Linked DNA regions of Arabidopsis thaliana. The protein of the gene in region 2 interacts with the protein of the main gene of each other region in a pairwise test. Each region holds a gene or a part of one and is shown on either strand. Other genes may lie near its edges.

Region 1 (3,753 bases), 3.1 Mb from region 2:
CGTGTACAGCCATTTTAGCCACTCTCCAACAAATCGAAATGCATATGCAGATGCTAGCAGAGGAAATAGCCTGTTCTGCTGAGTTTTATAATCAATCACCTGTGATAACAACAAGCATAAATATATCACATTCCCTTTTCTAGCCAACATAATAGTCAGCAGACGTTGATGAGAGTTTTAAAAAGCTATGCAAAACCAAGCCGAAGAAAAACAGTTCACCAGAAACTTACAGACAAATTTGGCTAAATATGCAAAATATTCTTACAAGCAAAGTTTTTCAAGGTAAAATAGACTTTGAAATTTGTTATGATCCAACATCAATGGGTGTAAACAACCATGCGTATCCTTGATTTTTGAATAAGTACCTGTGTCTCAATGCCACCATTATGTGCGCCAAATTGCCTCCGCACTGCACTGTATCTTGTAGCTATGCAAACTGCTCGAGATAGTGCATTGGAAGCATCAGCCACAATTGTTTGTCTCACATACACCATAGTACCATATACCAGCTGCTTTGGAACATCCGATGGAACATATTCTCCTTCTCTTGTAACTTTTGACAGCCTGAAACGTTTTGAAAGAGGAGAAAAATGTAGAACCATAAGCCCGAGTTTATGCACAAGCAATTTCCTCTAGAACTATCATTACATCGTGAATGCTAATTAAAATCAGACCCGAAAGGCAAAGAGAGAGGACCTCATGAGCATTTGATCTCTAGGAATGCGAACATGATCAAACATAAGAAACCCGTTGTCCATTGAATTATATGCTCCATTTCCCATCTTTGTCCCGATATCACCAACAGTTATATTCGGAAGAGGAGAATGATCTTCTAAGCTTCGCAGTTGCACGATGAATCCTGGAAGAGAAAGTTTAAGAAAGCAATACCCAAGCAAGAAAAATTGAACAAAAAAAAAATACTGGAAACTTTTCCCGGTACATACCATGGATACCGTAGTCTTTTCCGTTAGTTATGAGACGAGCGTAAACAACAGCATGAGTAGAAACTTTTCCCAAACCACCAGGCCACCACTATTCAAACAATCAAGACAGATGAAAATCTTACACAACCAAGAGAAACTGTGCATAATACTCAATCAAAGGCTTCTTGGTATACTTACTTTGGATGCAGTCTGAGTTGGAGTGTGAATTACAAACTCATCAGTCTTGGGATCAAATGTGGCAGTTGTCTCAAGTCCTTGAACATTTGAGCCATGACCAAGCTCAGTCTGTGCATAACACCCAATAATCTGCATCTTATTGGCCAGCGACAACCACTTCTTCTGCTGCTCCTCTGTACCCTGCCCCTTAATAGCAGGCACAAACATTCCCTATAGAGCAGAGATACAAAAACAATGAATCAAAGAATCAAAATCCTGTCTCCAGAAGATAAATGAGACGCAGGTAGTACCCAGTGCAGATCCACATAGGCAGGCTGGTCGATAAAGTGCCTCAATCTTCCTGCTTCTTCCTCTGTAACAAACAAAAAATGAAAGAGCACAATAATAAGACGCAATCAAAAAACCTTGATAACAATACGTGTGTGAGAACAATCCATACCATTGAGACGAAGCTCGATAATCCTTTTAAACGCATGGGCACATTTTCTCAACGTACTCTTAAACAGCTCCTTCCTACTCAACCGAGCTCGATTGCTTTTCTCAAATACCTATATAAACAAGATTGAGAAATTCACAAATCTAAGAGAGACCTAATCATATTCCCTCGCCGCAAAAACATTTCCCGGAATCCAAACGAAACCAGAACAAAAATCAACGAGAATCGCGAAGAAATTCACCGGATCGCTGGCGACAAGGCGGGCAATTCGATCGGAAACCTCAAAAGCGTGGCGGGAACCAGCCCAGACGATCTTCATATCCTCAACGTCGAACTCTGCTTTGTTTCTCTCATCGGCGAGGTGATCAATTCCTTCCATGATTCGTAATTCAGAATCTAGTAGCTAAACACTCAAAAGTTTCTCGAGAAAACTCTCAGAGATGATAGGAAAAAAAAAAAAAAAAAACAGAGGGAGAAAAAGAAGGACAATGCCTCACTCTACCGATTTAATTGCAGAGTAGTTGGAAGAACAATTAAGCTTTTTATTTCGGAGATAAAAGAAGAGAAAGACAAATTGATTTAAATATAGACTCTTTTTTTTCTTCTTTCTATAATTAATATATTTTGGGTTTATCTTTTTCTCAGATCCACTCTCCGACATAGATAAAACCCACGTGGAAAATAATAAATTTTGGATTATATATTCCTAATATAAGTTAATTAGTCAACGAATGTTGAAAACAAATTAAGTTGTTTGCAAATAAAACCTCGCAAGTATGGAATAATGTGATTTTTTCCCCCTCATATATATATTTGACTAAGAAAAAAAGGATATCTACGTATAGAAAATTTTATATGCTGTATAACAAAGGATATTTGACAGACAAAAAGTGGTTGTATTTCAGTATTTGTGTACTAAAATAAAATTTAAAATATCGTTAAATCAGATGTGTGGATAATTTTTTTTTCTTTTTCCCATATGTGTTTCCATATGAATTAGTAAATGCATGCATCTGAAGAACATGTTGATAAAAAGAAGATAAAATAGTTAGATTGAAGATAAGATAATGTTTTGTTATCTTGTGTTTAAAATAGTATTTTGTTCCAACTTTGCAGGTATAGTAGCGTTATGCACATTTCGAAGAAAATAAAAATAAGATTTAAGGGCCCGAATGGTGACTGCGTTTTGCAGGTTCAAATAATAACGAAAATACATAAATATATATATATATATATATAGATTTTGATATTGAAATGTGATTTTGGGTATGGTCTATGTCAACATTCATTTGTGTTTTTGTGTCTGTCAAATGCATTTGCTTGTCAACTGTATGGTAAAACTTGATTAATATTTGTGTTTCCTTCAAAGTATAGTTAAGTAATTACACTTGTATACAACCGTATTATTCTCGTAAATATTAAAATGTTTGTCTTTTGAATTGAAACAGTAATGTCCCTATAAACCACAGAAAATTCGCCATGTGTATGAGTATGGTCCAAACACGTAAACGCCCATTCAAGTTCCACGGCTTTTAAACGTGTCTATCTTTGAGACTTTGACTGACTAATCATTTTCAAGTTCCATAAGTTTCACTAATTAAACATTATGGTACGTAGAAGTTTGAACACTATTTTTTTCTTACATTTCGTCACAAACATAAGACTAGGAAGTGGCGTATGTTAGCCTGAAACGCTCCTTGATATAGTCGCCGGCGAGAATAGGCGGGAATCTGCACCGATGGAACTAAATCTTTATGAGAGAAGGACTAAACTTTTATTCTTTTACACTTGAAGACCAAATGATTTAACAAACGTGTAACGTGCCTCTCCTCACACCCTTAAATTGGATTAAGATTCAAGAAGAAATACCTTGGGGGACAAGTTTCGCTGCAACAACTCTCCAAGCATTTCACATTACAATCTGGATTGGGATCTAAGAAGAACACCACCTACAAAAAACTTTTCCTTTAAATAACTCAAAACTTTATCAATTTGTATAGAAATTAGAAAGAAAGAAACAAGACAAAGCTACCGAGTAACGTTCTTTTCCCACCGGCATCACTCTGTGCAATGTAGACCTAAACCCATTACAAGAAAATACGAAATGTGAAGAACGCATAAAAACCGCACTCACGACTAGGTAAACTGGTTTAAGTTTACCGAAACAATCCATTGGTCCATCTCTCCATCATATCA
Region 2 (3,753 bases):
GAAATTTACTTTCTTATCAAAATATTACCCACCTTAAGTTTACTTTCTTCTAGGTACTCGCCAGCTTCATCCCTAAGATGTAATCTAATCTCGGTTCCACGTCCAAGAGGCTCATTCCATGTATCCTCGGAAACAGCAAATTTACCGTTAGCCTTTGATTCCCATACATACCTGAAAACGGAAAAGAAGTTATCAGAAAAGCTTTTCAATGATTTTACATGCCCACAAGTATATTGCCAAACAAAGCCCTCTAAATCAACTTACTGGCTGTCATCATTGTGCTTGCTAATGACTTCAATGTAGTCAGCAACAAGATAGGCAGAGTAGAATCCAACTCCAAATTGTCCAATAAGGTTCAAATCCCCACTTGATTGCATTTTCTCAACAAAAGCTGCGAAAGGCAAGATCTTAGAAATATGGAATTTATTGATCCATACTATTATGCAGGACAACGTATCACCACATAAGTAACGTACCTGACGTTCCAGATTTTGCTATGGTACCAAGGTTCTTGATTAAGTCTTCCTTAGTCATACCAATTCCCCGGTCTCGAATAGAAAGAATCTTCTTGGCTTTGTCTAGCTTAATCTGCATACCATAGCATAGTTACGGAGGTAAGAAAAAAGCTTACACTAGACACAATTCCAACGAAAGGCTAAATTTACTGAGATCAGCATTTGATAAAACAAATCGATGAAACTCTATTTTCAACACTCTCAAGCATAAAAATCATATTGAGAAACATGTAGCTAACCTGGATCTCAAGCTTAGCAGTGTCACCTTCACCCAAAACGTCTTTGTCAGTGAGTGCAAGGAACCTAATTTTGTCCAAGGCCTGAAAATCACCAACACAGACACTTATTAGTTCCCCTATTTAACGAGGTATCCCAAAAACTCACTAAAACAATGTACACGAAGCTGCTTACATCAGAAGCATTGGAGATCAACTCTCTTAAGAAAATGTCCTTGTTACTGTATAGAGAGTTGATAATAATGTCCATAAGCCGAGAAACCTCAGCTTGGAACTCAAACTTCTCCGCGTTACTGCGAAGCGTCTTCTTTGACATCGACTCAGACTCTCTGTCGATCAAACGAATTCGAATAAGGCAAGATTCAAGCAATCCAAGCGAAAGTTCTACCGTGAAACTAACAGAACACTAACCTATGAACTACATCGGAATCCGTCGATAAACCACCGTGACCACCAATTTTCTCCTCAACTTTTGGTGGATCTGTAACATCATCGGAACTCTCTTCTGCATTCGCGTGTAACTTTCTTCCTATGATAAACACCACAGAAATATCGCCATCATCAGCATATGAATCCTAAGCAACACTTATATCTATCTACTCAAAATCAACACATATATACATCGAAACGTACCTTGATCTGGAAGAAGAAACAGAAGCGAGAAAAGGAACAAAACGGACACGAGCGTCCTCTTCCTCATTGTTAGATCGGAGCCTTGGTTCTCTCAGTCTTTGCTTTCGGGTTACTCAGTGATGATGATGATTCAGCTCGATAGATCCGTATATAATAGGAAATGATTCAGTGATGTGTGAACTGTTTAGTTGCGTACACTTTAGTTTCTCCTGATTGGTTAGCTTCGTCATGATTTGCCAACGTGTCAGATCTAACGGATCGTATTGTGAGATAGCCACGTGGTAGTTTTGTATTGGAGCAAGGTTTTGTTCTTGACGTGGAGCGACGTGGATTTCGGGGTTGTGGCGTGGATGGACGACTTTTAAATTATCAAAGTATGCTAAATCAACGGTGATATTCGTTTACGTCCTAATTGGGACGATCGGACGGCTATATTTAGTTGTTTTACATGTGACAAATAACTATTGGATATTAGGATGCTATGCTTTTATTGATGTCGGATACAAAAGTAAAATGATGTTTTTCTTTGTACAACGATGATTATGCTTGCCAAGGTTATTACGTTTGGCTGGCTTTAATCGGTTGATGGCTAAAGTCTCGCCTAAAGGCGATACAATTTGTCAATTTGGGAAGATCATAGTCATCACTCATCCGTAGTAGCAATATGTATGCGCGGTTCAAAAATGGTAATGTCTATTTGGTCCCATTATTTATTGAAAGATACAACACGTGAGAGACTTCCTTCCTCACCAGAGACCTCCTTCGCTGCTTTCTTCCATGAACAGTTGTTCAGAAATGAGAGCATAACATATCGACGAATGGAACGAAAATGGACGCAACAGATTAATCAAACCACTAGAACCTTTTCTGTATCTTAAAACTATATATTTATTTATGGAGAAAAACCCAACAAGGTTAAAAAGAAGCTTGACATATACCAATGTTTGAACTAATCCTCCTATATGTTATGAAATAAAATAAAAAACCTGAAAAATGGGAAAACTGAGGAAATAAAAAAAAAAGAAGGAAAAGTTCAGCAAGACACTTTATAAGTTACCTCAAAACACTTGTCATCATCCTTTGACCAATCAATCAATTCATCAACCTATTCAAGAACCCATCTCCACCACTTTGTAGATCACTCACCTCCATGGAGGAAACTCCCAACGTGGCTCCGGCTCTTTTCGCTTTCCACCAATGCTGATAGAAGAACTCGATGAGGGCTCTACATTTGCTCCTGAATGCTCTCCCATAGCCCCGCTTTGTGAAGGTGATAGAAACTGCCTCAAATTTAGCGACTCTCTGTTTCCTATCTCAAGTCCAAACCCAGAGTTCTGATCAAAGTTTGGCCGCATTGATCCATTCGTACTAGGCGATCCACCCGCCAAGCTCATGAACATGTGTTGTTGAGGGAATGGTGGCTGCACATACGGCGCTGATCCGATTATTTGCGGCATCATCACTGGGGTACCTCTTGAATCCACCATGTATGGAATAGCAGTTCCAGGAACATACATGGGTGATGACATTGACAAACCAGGAGGACCAGTCAATCCGTTGTAGCCATACATAGGGGCTGGAGAAAAGGAGACACCAGGGGCTAGACCCAAAGAGTTTCCCGTTCTTCCCATGTGTAAACCTGTTGCAGGCTCGAGGGACTTGCCATTGGACAAGAACGAAGCCATCTGAGGTACAGAGTCTTTTCTGTCAGCTTCCACTTTTGTACCCAAGATAGATATACCTGGTTCTTCCAATTTGTGCCCCCCATAGGAGGCTGTACTCCATGGGTGCCGCCCATAGTAGGGACCCTGATCACGTGAATCAATGAAAAACTGTGGCCTGTCATTCAAATCAAAGTTTACTTCCTTGCCTGATTGTTGAGCAACTGACGATGAGGAGACAGGTGATGCGCTTTGCTGACCATTGTGACTTAAAAACAATCTTGTTTCCATCTTCGACTCAGAAGGTGGAGGCATCTCATCGTCCTCGTTCATACAATTCAAATCCAAGTTGAACTTGCTTGATCCTCGCAGACTGGCTTCATGTGAAGACTCTCCACCCCTAGAGTTTGATGAGGAGAAAGGAAACTGTTTCCAAGGAGTAAGATCTTCAACTTGATCATCTCCTACCTCAGCCACGTTCAGATCGATACCACGAGAAATCACCTGCTTTTCTCTTAAATCCCCACTAGGAACTTTATGAGGTAATGCTGAGTGAAATACACTCGTAGCAGCTGATCCTTTCCCGCTAAGAGATCTTTCCAAATGCCACGGTGCTGCTGCAGGCATTGCAGAAGATGAGACAGAAAATGAAACAGACATAGGAGCAGGGGTTGTAGATGTGGAGGACATAATGACATCTGTTTCATC

The links. The genes of interacting proteins can lie anywhere in the genome.
Region 1: the proteins of SHD (region 2) and ACX1 interact in a two-hybrid assay, tested with the Arabidopsis thaliana proteins (one study listed by BioGRID).

The regions. Positions count from the first base shown.
Region 1 is NC_003075.7:9,426,754-9,430,506, forward strand, and holds the start of ACX1 (acyl-CoA oxidase 1), read right to left. Parts: upstream 2,142-3,753; 5' UTR 1,937-2,141; coding exon 1,799-1,936; intron 1,670-1,798; coding exon 1,561-1,669; intron 1,474-1,560; coding exon 1,412-1,473; intron 1,332-1,411; coding exon 1,122-1,331; intron 1,033-1,121; coding exon 945-1,032; intron 860-944; coding exon 697-859; intron 565-696; coding exon 366-564; intron 100-365; coding exon 1-99. Other genes in the region: AT4G16765 (2-oxoglutarate (2OG) and Fe(II)-dependent oxygenase superfamily protein), read right to left, coding at 3,221-3,287, 3,427-3,506, 3,590-3,635, 3,718-3,753. UniProt on the Arabidopsis thaliana protein: Catalyzes the desaturation of both long- and medium-chain acyl-CoAs to 2-trans-enoyl-CoAs. Most active with C14-CoA. Activity on long-chain mono-unsaturated substrates is 40% higher than with the corresponding saturated substrates.
Region 2 is NC_003075.7:12,554,401-12,558,153, forward strand, and holds the start of SHD (Chaperone protein htpG family protein), read right to left. Parts: upstream 1,659-3,753; 5' UTR 1,452-1,658; coding exon 1,385-1,451; coding exon of another isoform or gene 1,381-1,384; intron 1,281-1,380; coding exon 1,163-1,280; intron 1,081-1,162; coding exon 927-1,080; intron 836-926; coding exon 755-835; intron 589-754; coding exon 477-588; intron 392-476; coding exon 265-391; intron 172-264; coding exon 33-171; intron 1-32. Other genes in the region: AT4G24200 (Transcription elongation factor (TFIIS) family protein), read right to left, coding at 2,527-3,753. UniProt on the Arabidopsis thaliana protein: May have a molecular chaperone role in the processing of secreted materials. Required for shoot apical meristem (SAM), root apical meristem (RAM) and floral meristem (FM) formation, probably by regulating the folding of CLAVATA proteins (CLVs).